Linked DNA regions of Schizosaccharomyces pombe. The protein of the gene in region 1 interacts with the protein of each later gene in a biochemical or structural test. Each region holds a gene or a part of one and is shown in the gene's direction. Other genes may lie near its edges.

Region 1 (6,899 bases):
ACGCGCTGATTGTTCAGCTTAATTTATAGGTAGATATGATCAATGTATTTATTTAATATTTTTTTTCTATTTTATTTAAATATTAGTTCTCATTAACTATGCATCATGGAGTTATAGTCGTAAATTATGCTGCAGTAACTTGAAGCTTCAAGAAAATAAACCTATTAAATATCGTTGTCACGACTACTGATTGAAAGCAAATTCAAACGGGTTTTGCAAGCGACAGCATGCAAAAAGAATCATTCAATGCATCAATAGAAAAAAAAGTGTAACAGATTTAGCTATCCATCGGTTTATTGAATGCCACAATCAGTATCCATAAAGAGAATTCAAAAAAGAATCAATGTATATCAAACAAAGCAACGTAACGAAATTTAAAAATCAGAGTCCATTGGACCAGCAATTTCATCGCCAGATTCAGTGTCAATAGAAGACATGGTGTCATCATCTGAAGAGTCGTTCAAAGTTATATCAGCGTCTTCTTTATTAGCATACCGAGCGATATAATCTCGAACCTTGGCATAGTAGGTATTCGGCTCTCGCAATAATAGAGCTGCTGCCTCTCCATTTAGAGGGTCCGACGCATTAGGATAACGGAGTAGCTGTGGAAGAAAAACCTCAAAAATATTAATCATATCAAACATTGGAGACCAAGTTTGATTTATCACGTCCAAGCAAACACTTCCACTAAGCTCATCGATATTGGGATGAAATATACGATTTACAAATCCAATACTTGGAGATTTCCAAGGATACTCACTTGGCAGTTCAACATGAACTTTCCATATTCCACCTGAGTAAGGGGTTTCAGACGGTCCATGGAACCTAACGTAAAATTCTTGCATATTATCATTGACAAGAGTTACCTCGTAATCACTCATCAGCAGCTTCATAACGTCCGTCTCAATTCTGCGCCTTGGGCTCGACATTTTGATTTTTTATAGTTTTATTTCAAAACTAAAAAAGAACTCAATAATTTTAAGCTAGTGTAGTATTCAAATACGGTAATTTGCTGCAATAAAGGCAAATTCGCAAATTCAGCAGTTTTCGAGTAATTTTCAATAAAATCAAATTATTTTGGACTTTTGGAAAGATTCTTAGCTTCCGTTTTAAATGGTTCTATCCTATTGTCCGTGAATATATCAAATTTTTAAAAGCAACAACTAATAATCATCAATGACCTAATTTAAATGAAAGCAATTTTATTGTATAGAAGAATCCCCTCTTTATCGTCCTTCTTATTGTTAAATATATTTTAATTTACAAACGAGGCAATTGAGCATAAGTTTGGCTATGATGAAGACGCGGAATTTCGCTGATTTGGAGGTTATAAGAAGCAGGTAACAGTATGTGAGTAACAATGATTCTAGTACTACCAAGATGCTTTCGTCTCAATGCAGCTTGATAAATTAGTATCAAATATATGTATTAATAAAATCTCAGCATTTGTTTTGTTCTATTGGAATCGATAAATAGACTGGAAAAAATTGGAAAGAGTTAATCGTTTGGCTACTGAATATATTCGCGAGTGATAAAAACTAAGATCTTTAATTTAATATTTACTCGTATTTTTCATAACAAACGTAACTTGCGGATGGCCAAGCTGATTTCAAAGAAGAAAATCTACTTAGGGAAGTCATCTGCTTGTTTGTCGAGAAAAGATAGCGTCTCCCTTCAAATGTGTGTTAAGGAAAAAAAGGCAAAACTTGAGCATTGCCAACTAATAGAAGAGAATTTTAAAAAGAAATAAATTTGATTATGTAATTTGTAAAATTGGTATAAATATTAGCCATCAACAGAATATTATTATAGAGGTAGAATTCCAATATCTAAGGATCTTCGGATTTCGACTTCTCTAGTAGCAGTGCATGATTAATTACTAACCGAGTATCTTTGGCATTCTTTATGCATTTTTCCGTCAAAAACGAAAGGCGACTCGGAGAGCAAGTGCCTCTTTCCCATACTTGAGTAACGTGACCAAGAGAAGCCATGTACCCCATAACTACAGAACCTTTAGCAGCCCTTGCACGCTCATCCACATAATCAGGATCAATCCAATATTCATCCGTATTGGGATTAAATAATACACTCGAGCCCGTCACCAAATCTATGCAGTCGATGTTAGCATCAGCTATTGCACTTGATGCGCAACTTATAGCAGCAGCCAATGTTGCTAATGCACCGTCACTTTCAATCACTTGAATATAAACGTCTATAGAACTTTTCGGATACAAATGCAGTAATATACTTGGAGAAATTGCTGCTTCAATCATTTGGGAATAGCTTTTTTCTTCGACGGTTTGTACATGTCCCTGACGAACAGAAGTAGAAAATGGGGATAATCTAAATTCACAATTCAACTTTGCTGATGAACGAAAAGCAAAAGTCTTACTAGGTCGAGGACCAGAGACTGTGCATGCAATTTTTATTTTTTCTGATTCAAAATAACTGCTACCGACAGCTTTAGTAGCCCACCCTAATTTTAGATCTAATTGTCAGTGAAAATGTTAATAATCGGTATCTTACATATTTTTCGACATCTGTCAACATCACGAGTCCGCGTGAAAACAGGTTGTTCTGGCTCTTCAAAATAAGGGGGAACGGATACACTCGGTCCATACACTCTCTTTCTATCTGACATCGATTTATAGAGTATTTGTTTTAACCTTGATGTACCGTTAAGAAAACAATACAGAAGCAGCCTGGATTTTCAGTGGTGGCTTCGCGTTTTGGGATGACGCGTTTGCATGCCTTAATATATATAACGATATTGTTTGATTCGGTGTATATATGACATATAGAAAGCAATTTTATCGCATCTAAAAGATTTTTGTAATGACTAAGCGTTTCAATCAGTAAGCTGGAAAATAAAAATGCTTTTAGAATAATGGTGCAAAATTTTTTTTTATCCAGCCAGCATACTTCAAGTGCGCGCTCTTAAATTTAATGAGTAATAAATTGTTAAGCATGTGTAACGAAAGAGCTCGCTATTTGAACATATAAAAACACTATATTATAGCCTACGTATGACTCTCCTCTGCCAACACCACGTTTCGTAATGAGTGTATGTAATTTGTTTAAATGATTCAAGTATTTTTCGCTTCTTACTAACATTGCAAAAGAATAACATGAACATTGATCAAACGGATCAAAATACTATCGATGAAGGGCTTTACTCTAGACAACTGTAAGTTTTATTAGAAACATGAAGAGTCATTATTACCGGTGTTGATTTGGTTTAGCTTTATGTTTTTATATTCTTTCTTGTACTGAGCGCTTGCTAATTTATCTAAAGTTATGTTTTAGGCCATGAGGCTATGAAACAAATGAGTCAGTCGAATGTCTTAATCATTGGCTGCAAAGGTTTAGGCGTTGAAATAGCAAAGAACGTTTGTCTAGCAGGTGTAAAAAGCGTTACTCTTTACGATCCTCAACCTACACGCATTGAGGACTTATCATCACAATATTTTCTTACAGAAGACGATATTGGTGTTCCTCGTGCAAAAGTAACGGTATCAAAGTTAGCAGAGCTTAATCAATATGTGCCTGTTTCTGTAGTTGATGAACTTTCAACAGAGTATCTAAAAAACTTCAAATGCGTGGTTGTCACAGAAACTTCTCTTACGAAACAGCTAGAAATTAACGACTTTACACACAAAAACCATATTGCTTATATTGCTGCTGACAGCCGTGGTCTTTTTGGATCGATATTTTGTGATTTTGGTGAGAACTTTATTTGTACTGACACTGATGGAAATGAACCTTTAACTGGAATGATCGCTTCAATTACTGATGATGGAGTTGTTACCATGCTTGAAGAAACTCGTCATGGATTGGAGAATGGTGATTTTGTTAAATTTACCGAAGTGAAGGGTATGCCTGGTTTAAATGATGGCACTCCTCGTAAAGTTGAAGTGAAAGGTCCATATACCTTTTCTATCGGATCTGTTAAAGATTTAGGAAGTGCCGGTTACAATGGTGTCTTTACCCAAGTTAAAGTTCCAACCAAAATATCTTTCAAATCTCTCCGCGAATCGCTCAAGGACCCTGAATATGTATATCCTGACTTTGGTAAAATGATGAGACCTCCACAATACCACATTGCTTTCCAGGCCCTTTCAGCATTTGCCGATGCGCATGAAGGTTCATTGCCTCGACCCCGTAACGACATTGATGCAGCTGAATTTTTCGAATTTTGTAAGAAAATTGCAAGCACACTTCAATTTGATGTTGAACTCGATGAAAAACTAATTAAGGAAATTTCATACCAGGCAAGAGGTGATTTGGTTGCAATGTCCGCGTTTTTGGGCGGTGCTGTAGCACAGGAAGTGTTGAAAGCTACCACCAGTAAATTTTACCCATTGAAGCAATACTTCTATTTTGACTCCTTAGAAAGCTTGCCATCTTCTGTAACGATCAGTGAAGAAACTTGTAAACCTCGTGGCTGTCGATACGATGGGCAAATCGCTGTTTTCGGTTCGGAATTTCAAGAGAAAATAGCTTCTTTGAGTACGTTTTTGGTTGGTGCTGGCGCTATTGGATGTGAAATGCTGAAAAACTGGGCTATGATGGGTGTCGCTACTGGTGAAAGTGGTCATATTTCTGTTACTGATATGGACTCCATTGAAAAATCGAATTTGAATCGTCAATTTCTCTTTCGTCCTCGTGACGTCGGAAAGCTGAAGTCCGAATGTGCTTCTACCGCTGTTTCAATCATGAATCCTTCATTGACTGGTAAAATAACTTCATATCAAGAACGTGTTGGACCAGAAAGCGAAGGCATATTTGGCGATGAATTCTTTGAAAAGTTATCTTTAGTCACGAATGCTTTGGATAACGTCGAAGCTCGAATGTATGTTGACCGCCGTTGTGTATTTTTCGAAAAGCCATTATTAGAGTCTGGTACTTTGGGTACTAAGGGTAATACGCAAGTTGTTGTACCTCATCTTACAGAGTCGTACGGATCATCCCAAGACCCTCCTGAAAAGTCATTTCCTATCTGTACTTTGAAGAACTTTCCTAACCGTATTGAGCACACCATTGCATGGGCTCGCGATCTCTTTGAAGGCTTGTTTAAACAGCCTATCGATAACGTTAATATGTACCTTAGTTCTCCTAACTTTTTGGAAACTTCATTGAAAACGAGTAGTAACCCCCGTGAAGTTTTAGAAAATATTAGAGATTATCTTGTTACGGAGAAGCCTCTTTCATTTGAGGAATGTATTATGTGGGCCCGTTTGCAGTTTGATAAGTTCTTTAACAACAACATTCAGCAATTACTTTTCAATTTCCCTAAGGATTCTGTAACCTCCACTGGCCAACCGTTTTGGTCTGGTCCTAAGCGTGCCCCTACTCCATTATCTTTTGATATTCACAACCGTGAGCATTTTGACTTCATAGTTGCAGCAGCCAGTCTTTATGCATTCAACTACGGCCTTAAGAGTGAGACAGACCCAGCTATTTACGAACGCGTTCTTGCTGGCTACAATCCTCCTCCCTTTGCTCCCAAGTCTGGTATTAAAATTCAAGTCAATGAAAATGAAGAAGCTCCCGAAACCGCTGCTAATAAAGATAAACAAGAACTGAAATCGATTGCTGACAGTCTACCACCTCCATCCTCTCTTGTGGGTTTTAGACTAACTCCGGCAGAATTTGAAAAGGACGATGACTCTAATCATCACATTGACTTTATAACGGCTGCATCAAATTTGCGTGCCATGAATTACGACATCACACCTGCGGATAGGTTTAAGACGAAGTTTGTTGCCGGTAAAATTGTACCAGCCATGTGTACATCAACTGCTGTCGTTTCAGGACTTGTATGTCTTGAGCTTGTTAAACTTGTTGATGGCAAAAAGAAGATCGAGGAATATAAAAATGGATTTTTCAACCTTGCTATAGGGCTCTTTACATTTTCTGATCCTATTGCTTCTCCGAAAATGAAAGTCAATGGTAAAGAAATCGACAAAATCTGGGATCGCTACAATCTCCCGGACTGCACACTTCAAGAGCTTATTGATTATTTCCAAAAAGAAGAGGGGTTGGAAGTGACCATGCTTTCATCTGGAGTTTCTCTTTTGTATGCTAATTTCCAACCACCTAAGAAACTTGCTGAAAGGTTGCCTCTCAAAATTTCTGAATTGGTTGAGCAAATTACTAAGAAAAAACTAGAACCTTTCCGGAAACACTTGGTGCTTGAAATTTGCTGTGATGATGCCAACGGTGAAGACGTTGAAGTTCCATTTATTTGTATCAAGTTGTAATACCTTTGAGAACCGGTTAATTCCTGGAATTTGCAACATTTAATGCCAATGGCTCTAATAAATTTACTAAATTAGTATTAGCAGTCTTTAAAAAACATTAATAGGCATGTATGAATAATTTATTATTTTTCCTATACTCTTTCTAATTTTTATGAACTAAGATCTGTTATATTTTAAAAAGTATTTTGACATGTAGTAAAATTGTTGTTTTTTTGAGCAATTTTTTTAACGTCGGCGATTGGCATTTACGTAAGTTTCGACTGCTAACCTCCTAATTTACCTAAGAGTATATCTTTACTCGGCTACAAAAGTCTATCGTATACATTATATTAAATTTAACTAGAATTATTGCCAATGTCTACTGCCTCAAAACTTTGTATCGTCGGGGCCGGTGTCTTTAGTGTTTACATGGTTTATTTCGTACATAATAATCAGATTATTGAACGAGAGGTAATATTTACTTATATTAAAGAAAATATGCACCATAGCTAATGTAAGTATAGAAAATGTCGGCGGGAGTTCAAAAAGATGATGAAAGGAAAAGAATTAAAAAAGAAAGGTTTGAAGACCTAAAGCGACAACAAGAGTTACGAAAATTTTACGAAAGCCAGCTACCTGTTGAAGAGGACGAAAAGG
Region 2 (4,207 bases), on another chromosome or scaffold:
TTGATATCAATACATATATATATATATATATAAGTCTATTTATACATCGATAACTCTACTAGTCCCATTGTCAATGCTAGTGAATATACTTGTTTTCCGACAGAAATGACTCGTACTCGTGTACAAAAAATGATACCGAAAACCATTGAATACCAAAAAATGATATCTGGTCAACCGTAAGGCTAATGCTTAAAACTTGTCGAGCTAATATATCATCTTCGTTGACATGTTTGAAGTCACATTGAACGCAGGGAGATATTCTAATTACTAAATAACAGGTACAAGGCTTACGACGAGGAGTTGACTCAAGCGAGATGTAATGCTAAAAAATTAATGCGAAGGTTTAATGACACTATGGGAGATTTGGAAAATGTAGGCCCAGCAGAATTGATTAAAAGACGAGCTGAACTGTTGGCTGAAGTTTTTGTATTTGACGAATCTTCAGCACCAGAGATTGAGCCACCTATGGCTTTTGATTACGGATTTAACGTTCATTTTGGAAAAAAATTCTTTGCAAATTATAATTGTACATTTCTAGATGTTGCCATAATTACTATTGGTAATAATGTAATGCTAGGCCCCAATGTATGTTTATATATATATATAGTTACTTTCAAGTCATTCATTCAAAAAATAAATATACTAATGGTGTCTTTCCAGGTTCAACTATGTACAGCAACACATCCCTTGGATTTTAAAGCAAGGAACTCCGGAATTGAATTTGGTTTACCAATTAACGTATGCGTTAGTCCAGTTATTGAAACATCTTACAACTAACAAACAAAATTTTATCAAGATTCAGGACAATGTTTGGATTGGTATGGGAGTTATAGTTCTCCCAGGTGTTACTATCGGGGAAGGCAGTGTAATTGGAGCGGGTGCTGTTGTTACAAAAGACATCCCACCTAATACGTTGGCTGTAGGATCACCTGCCAAACCTATTCGTAAAATTGAAAACGAGTGAACGAGTGTAATTTTTTTTTTTATTATTTCATCTAACGATTAAATGCTCTTTGAACTTCTTAAGTTCACCTGGCTTGGTTCCTAAATTTTTAAAATAGTATAAATAATATTATATTATGTTTGAGCTTTAAATTGTTATATAGAAGACTTAGAATGCTAAAAGAAATCCATTTCTCACTCGCCAAGTAGGATCAGTTTCCTCCTATGACTTGCTAAAGCCCCCACGTGGTACTGCAATCGATTTTAATTCTAATGCTTAGCCAAGTCTAAAATAGTTGAAATTCTTAGTGGGATAAGAACTCTTAACCCCCACGATATATTTGAATGCTAAATAACCTAACCTAAAACCATTTTACACATTTTATTACTAACTTCATTATATTCTTGTAGAGGAACCATCCCATTCACCAGTTCTGAAGTCTCGACAACGAAAATTCATAAAATATGGCGCCTGCAGAACTTAAACGACCTGATTTAATCGTTCCCTACAAAGCTAGAGTCAAAGCAAATGAAGAAGGTAAAGTAGAAAGCACTTTCAAATTGAACCCAATCGTGAGTTACGCTGATTTAATCGCTCAAGCTTTAGTTCATTGTGGAATATTTTAAATCCTTTCTTTCGTCAAATAATTTATTAAGTTTGCTAACCCTATTATAGTTGGCTTGAGTTTGGTAAGCACAGCCACGTGTATGGCTGCTTTATTTCTTCGTTTCAAGTATGTAAGATATTTTAGGATTTTCATGTTAACGAGAAGATTAATTGCATGGGTTGCTTTTATCCTAACCTTTTCAAATTTACTGAACGCAAATACGTCTCCCAGCTCATCTCCGACTTCAATGGCTTTGTAAGTAATCCTAATTCATTGCATTAATGTAGTTCTATGGATGTTAACATTTGATCAGTATGGGTATCGCGGCTCTTGTGTCAACATATTTACCGGTAAGTTGAATTTTTATATTTACTTTGTCGATTAACTTGTGCAGCAATTTTTAAATACTCCAAACAAAACTTAGTAATTTTTAAGTCAGTGAATTAATAAGAGTATTAAGCTGATTTTTTTCTGGATAATTAAATTTATGCACAATGTAAATATCTAATGGTGAAGAGTTCAGATACATTTCTAACTACCATTTCAATCACGTAGCAGACGCGTAAAAAATTGGCTGTTTGTGTTTTCTCATTGTTAAGCTAGTGAAAATGTAAATTTATTTCTTACATCCTGTTGCTCTTTCATTTTTTCTTCCTAATGTATTTTAGTTGCTTTTTTAAACCCAATGAGAACAAAGGCTTAAAGTAAATATATATAATTTTCACATGTTCAACAGTTTACCGTTAACAAATGCACGGACCTTGATTATGATTAATGGTTGAATGAAAAATATCAACTTTCCTTATCTTTAACTATAATTTAAATGAAGTAGTAGTTCATTAATACTAAAGCAGACTTGCATTGCAAATGCTGAACATTACTAAAAGGTTGGTCTAGTTATAAGGTAACTGAGCGTGCACTTTATTATTTTAACGTGTTGGGTGCGCCCCATTAATAATGAAATACTGCATATGAGTGAATGGTCCTACTATTGTTCCCTGCCCTTCTCCAACAACGCAAATCGGATATCCTAACTCGGTGTAATTCCAAGGCGATATCGATATTTGTGCAACTTTTTTTTAAAGTTATCACAAATAGAAGAGAGGTTGCTATAAAAATGTCAACGACCGCAAGAAGACGTCTCATGCGAGATTTTAAGGTACGGCAGTTGTGGATCCGAGAAGACTTATATTAACCAATTCTTAGAGGATGCAGCAAGATCCTCCTGCTGGAGTTTCAGCTTCCCCTGTCTCTGACAATGTAATGCTTTGGTAAGTGTTTACCTATGTCAATTCATTTTTCTCTTATTGTTATGCAACGTAATGGTGAATATATGTGCTATATATTGAATGCCTTTTTTGCCATATATTTAGGAAGGAGATCGTTTCAAAATTCTTACAAGAAGCGATCTTTTTATGCTTGTTGGTTTCTGGATTGATTGCTTTTGTTTTTTATTATTGATGTTGGACTAACCATTTGAGCAGGAATGCTGTTATCATTGGCCCAGCAGACACTCCATTTGAAGATGGAACTTTTAAGTTGGTTCTTTCTTTTGATGAACAATATCCTAATAAACCTCCTCTTGTAAAATTCGTCTCCACAATGGTATGCTTAGTCATTGTATTTAGACAAGTCTTAAATTAGATTATTTGATTTGTTGTAATTTACTTTTTTCTTGGTTTTTTTTGTTTACTTACTTATTGGCTTTAGTTCCATCCAAATGTGTACGCAAATGGCGAACTTTGCTTGGACATTCTGCAAAACAGGTGGTCTCCAACTTACGATGTGGCAGCAATTCTTACCTCTATTCAAAGGTTTGCTTTTCAGAAATATTACTTAAATTTCTCATAACTAACTTTTAGCTTACTTAATGATCCAAATAATGCGTCCCCTGCAAATGCCGAAGCTGCTCAGCTGCATCGTGAAAACAAGAAGGAGTATGTGCGTCGAGTACGAAAAACTGTAGAAGACTCCTGGGAAAGTTGATTTCAAGACATAGCTGTCTTAATAATCCCTATTTCATTAGAACTTACTCTTCTTTTTCAACCGCCTTTCACATTAAATCTATTTAAGTGCTTCAAAGTTGCCAAAATTGTAACTATAGTAAATCATTAAGATTTTTTTGTTTACATCTACGAATGAATGATTTCTTCCTTATGTTTAGAACTTGTAAACTATATTAATGTGCGACTAATCACATATACAGACATGTACATGCAAAATTTATATTGATCTTATTAAACATAACCTGCCCTAAACCACACAAAAATACCAAACCAAGCGCAAAAACTCCATTTTTTTAAATACATATGGTCAATTTTTTTAAGTAAACCTCAACGGCTGTTCCCAAAATAATGATTAACGACGTTTCAAATTCTTCTTTCTTTTACGATATGACTGGCCAATTTGAACAGGTGAAGCTAATGAGCCATCGTTAACGTCTTCAAAATTAGCACGTCTCTTAGCTCTAGAAGTCAGGTCTAATTTACGATTTGAAAAGTCATCGTCATGGAATTTGCGATCAAGCAATGACCAGTCTTCACCACCATAATCGTGTTTCTTTACACGTTTAGATTTCTTTAAATCTTTCTTCGATAATTTAGGAAGGCGAGTATAATTACTTTCCTCATACTCTATCCTCTCACGCATTTTTTGCA
Region 3 (3,991 bases), on another chromosome or scaffold:
GAAGAAATACATTGGTCTGAAATTGATGTTAATGTATTAAAAACATAATTAAATTGCTCATCATTAAAGGCGCTTGATCTTTCTAGTTGAAACACTGGAGTTGCAGATATAGGATAATTATTTGGAAAATACACATGCAACCTAATATAAGCATAACCGTCATCAGGAAGAATGGGAGCATTTAAAGATATTGTGCAAGTCCTTTCCGCTACATCAATTTTCTCAAAGCTAACGTTGGAATACTTCTGCCCAATCCAAGAAAGTTCTTCTCCAAGGTTTTGAGGAACTTCCCAATCAGCATTACCTAACCGACCCATAGAAATTCCCCGTAGCCAATTTAATGGAGTCATGGGATTAGTTGATTTAGTGGATCGAGTCATAAATCCTGAAGAGCCAGGAAGATTGTATTTAGATTTCTTACGGTTAGCAAAAGCGACAAATCCCCTGGATAAGTCAGATGTATTAGCACGTTCTGCACCAAAATTAGAATCGAACGAGTTCATAGCATCAGAGGAATCACACTCAGTGTTAATTAATGATTGCTTAAGCGGCTCACGAGAATAAGTACGATATTTCGCGCCTAACCGTGTTAATTTAAAAGGAACAGGTTTTGTTCGATCGTGTCCCATTGAATTGAGTATATCGTTACCAATAGGCCATAAACGAACATGGTGATCCTTGGACCAAGTGATCAATTGAAAATCTCTTAAATCTCTATCAAATACATCTTCGCCTCGACACCTCCAAAGAAATTCTTTAACTTGATCGGTATGACCGGCAAATCTATGTACAGCACGGGGGCCTTCTTTGTCTAAATTACGACAATCGTACATGTGTACGGAATTGTCTCCTCTCTGAGGCATCAAAATAACTCCGTCCCCGAATGGAGTAAACCTTGCTTTCCATACTGGAGAATCAGTGGTAATTAAATGCTCAGGCTCCTCTGTTGACTTTTCATAGTTCCAAAACTTAACTGTTCGATCCATAGCACAAGTTAATAGGCGAGTTTCACATGCTCTATTGAATTCAAGACCATTAATTTTAGTAATATTTTCGGAAGTTTTAATTGTATGAAGTGGGGCGGATCCATAACGATCGTCCCAAATCCTTACTAAACGTCCATGGCTAGAAGCAAGTATGTGGGGATTTTTATAATTCCATTTTACCTGAGTAGCTCCGTTATGCCAATCGTAAAAGGAGTTAACAGGAAATCGAGGACTACGCAAATCCCAACAGTGAACAGAGGAATCAATTGAACAAGTGGCAAGAACATCAGGATTTTGCCGATGCCAGTTCATATCTGTGACGGCGCGGGTGTGTCCATGTAACATAAATTCTATAGCACGATCATTTGGTAGTGCAAGGTTCCATACTATCGTTTTTTGACTTGATGTAGAAACCACCCATTGGTCTCTTGCGGCATGAACATTCCACTGAGTATCAGCAACTTCCCAAGGAGTAGAATGTCTTAGCATTCTTGGTGGATTATAAGGATTATCAAGATCTAAGACTAGTAAACCATAACGTGAAGCTAAAGCTATATCTCTACCACAAGGAGATAAAGACATAGCACCCACTGGTTGATTAACTTCAATTGATAATTGTCTATCAAACGTAGTACTATCAAAAGGGCCGTATTCCACATTGCTGTTAGAATTCGATGGTAACTGCAAGTCTTCATCTTCGGAAGGGATGATGACCGTGGAATCCATATTTCTTCGCAACCGACCAGAAACACCCTGAGAGTTAAAAGATATTCGACGAGATCCATAACTACCATCGTCAAAAGAAGAAGATGATATGGAAGTTAAACCTTGCAACCTTTGTGTCGGTGTTTGAGAATATGCAACAATGGTACTAGACCTTACACTTTCTGAAAAATTTGCAAAGGAGTTAGAAGCTTTTTTAATTAATATCTTAGAATCGTTTAGCTTATTGTCCAACGTTTCTGAGTGATCTTTAGAGATTGTTGACGATGAAGCTAGTTGATCACCGTCTTGTGCAGTGTTTGATTGAGCGCTTAGAGCAGTGGACGATTCATGGATCATTGATTCAAGACTGTCTTTCTCCAATTCAAAGTTGCATAATTCCCCGCTATCATCCATATTATAGTATGAAGATGGGTTTTCAGAATTAAATTGCTTATTGGGGTAATTCAAGGTACGTTCATCTTGAAGAGATTTCAATGAATGTTCATAATCAATAGGCGAAGAATTTTTTACAACCGAATCACTCGGAGGAGACTTTCTTGAAGAATCGTCTCCCTGTAATTCCCTCATCTTTTTCGATATGGGCCAGGTGACTGTAGCAATTTCAGGATTCTGAATCTTTTTTTTTATAAAAAAACAAATTAAATTTTATACAATATTATGAATATTAATAATAATAAACTAAGAAGCCATGGCTACTTGTCAATTGCTAATACTATTCTTAGCTAGAGCCGTGGAGATTTTATTATCACTCACTATTTGTATTATGTTTTACGTCACTCCTTATATAGAATAGTGTATCAATCTCTCCAGTTTCTCCTTAAACCAAGTACTTATTGTGTGTACAGCATGCATTCTAGGAAGTCCAAGTATATGAACAATGGCTTTGCCTAAGCGTATTATTAAGGTTTGCGCTTTCTGTTAGCATTTTTCAACTAATAATTGGTAGGAAATTGAAACCCTTACGAGAGATCCTCCACCCGGAATTGTAGCGGCTCCCACTGAAGATAATCTTCGCTATTTTAAAATTACTATGGAAGGGCCTCAGCAATCAGCTTATGAAGGTGGAAAATTTCACTTAGAGCTGTTTCTTCCTGATGAGTATCCAATGGTAGGTTTTTTTTGAAAACACAGTATTGAGCCTACCATGGTCCTTTTGCTAGCCCTGCTAGTTCAACAAAAATTTGAAGAATGGCATTGTCAGTTTCAAACTGTCTTCAAAAAATTGTATAATTGTGTAATTTGAGTTTTAACAACTATTAGATGCCTCCCAATGTTCGTTTTCTTACTAAAATTTATCATCCAAACGTTGATAAATTAGGTCGCATATGTTTATCTACGTTAAAAAGTATGTTAAACTTCACACGTTTCATCTTATTTTGGTGTACTAACATTAATAAATCAGAGGATTGGAGTCCTGCTTTACAAATTCGAACCGTGCTACTTTCGATACAGGCATTAATGGGTGCTCCCAACCCAGATGACCCTTTAGACAATGATGTTGCAAAGATTTGGAAAGAAAATGAGCCACAGGCAATTGCAAATGCCCGTGAATGGACGAAAAAGTATGCAGTTTGATTACTTATGATAGTCCAATGCTTATGGTTATCACTAGAATAATAATATATTACGATATCAATAGCTTTCTATATACAGTCTTTGATTTGAATTCTACCCATTTCCTTAAGTTTTTTGCATTCAATTTTTTCCTAAGCGGTTAAGGTCTTTTCGAATAAAAGATGTAAAAATTAATAATAGATAATTATGGTAGCAGAATACAAACATCGCAGCTTTTGACGGACGATGAAAAAAGTGATATCTCGACGAGCACAATTAATTTAAGATATAGTGCTATTCATATAACAAGGAAGTATTAAAGTTTAAGCAAAATCCATAGTTATTATTGTTAATCTTGCAAAGCTTTCATTAATCTAGCAGAAAATAATTTTCCTTGTTCTTTCGTAAAGATAATTTCCTCCAACAAATAGTCTGGTAAATGTTTCATAAGCTCCTCATCAGTTTGAACATTCAGACGTGGAGTAAATGTAAAGTTTTGATCATCTAACAAGAGCTGATATTCGAGTGCTATAATAATATCCTGTTAGCTTGAAATTATTTCTAAATCCCTTAAAGCACTTACTCCCTCTCCTTCCAGTGTTTTTACAGTTGAAACGATATCCATCCTCGTCCTCTATACAGTCTGCAACTTCTAATCCGAAAAGCTCCTTTATAAGTATATTAATTTTTGAATAGTTTTTTATTTGCTCTCGAGTTTTCAATAA

What was found. The genes of interacting proteins can lie anywhere in the genome.
Region 2: of the proteins of uba1 (region 1) and rhp6, one has a biochemical effect on the other in vitro, tested with the Schizosaccharomyces pombe proteins (2 studies listed by BioGRID).
Region 3: of the proteins of uba1 (region 1) and ubc13, one has a biochemical effect on the other in vitro, tested with the Schizosaccharomyces pombe proteins (2 studies listed by BioGRID).

The regions. Positions count from the first base shown.
Region 1 is NC_003423.3:3,885,638-3,892,536, forward strand, and holds uba1 (ubiquitin-activating enzyme E1), read left to right. Parts: upstream 1-3,039; 5' UTR 3,040-3,058; coding exon 3,059-3,064; intron 3,065-3,122; coding exon 3,123-3,187; intron 3,188-3,295; coding exon 3,296-6,263; 3' UTR 6,264-6,399; downstream 6,400-6,899. Other genes in the region: gamma tubulin complex GCP4 subunit Gfh1, read left to right, coding at 1-29; ubiquitin conjugating enzyme Ubc8, read right to left, coding at 375-929; exosome complex component mtr3, read right to left, coding at 1,830-2,488, 2,527-2,641; Pet117 cytochrome c oxidase assemby protein, read left to right, coding at 6,618-6,713, 6,767-6,899.
Region 2 is NC_003424.3:303,056-307,262, forward strand, and holds rhp6 (ubiquitin-conjugating enzyme E2 2), read left to right. Parts: upstream 1-2,550; 5' UTR 2,551-2,667; coding exon 2,668-2,709; exon of another isoform or gene 2,710-2,756; coding exon 2,757-2,821; exon of another isoform or gene 2,822-3,001; intron 3,002-3,034; coding exon 3,035-3,155; intron 3,156-3,260; coding exon 3,261-3,364; intron 3,365-3,412; coding exon 3,413-3,536; 3' UTR 3,537-3,707; downstream 3,708-4,207. Other genes in the region: SPOM_SPAC18B11.09C (serine O-acetyltransferase activity), read left to right, coding at 106-176, 279-585, 661-738, 797-964; protein pat10, read left to right, coding at 1,408-1,480, 1,619-1,676, 1,716-1,805, 1,864-1,900, 1,945-1,974; U3 snoRNP-associated protein Lcp5, read right to left, coding at 3,909-4,207.
Region 3 is NC_003424.3:5,286,680-5,290,670, reverse strand, and holds ubc13 (ubiquitin-conjugating enzyme Ubc13), read left to right. Parts: upstream 1-2,576; 5' UTR 2,577-2,589; coding exon 2,590-2,616; intron 2,617-2,658; coding exon 2,659-2,820; intron 2,821-2,972; coding exon 2,973-3,057; intron 3,058-3,114; coding exon 3,115-3,287; 3' UTR 3,288-3,491; downstream 3,492-3,991. Other genes in the region: SEA complex subunit Sea3, read right to left, coding at 1-2,279; csm1 (microtubule-site clamp monopolin complex subunit Csm1/Pcs1), read right to left, coding at 3,616-3,794, 3,850-3,991. UniProt on the Schizosaccharomyces pombe protein: Has a role in the DNA error-free postreplication repair (PRR) pathway. The ubc13/spm2 heterodimer catalyzes the synthesis of non-canonical poly-ubiquitin chains that are linked through 'Lys-63'.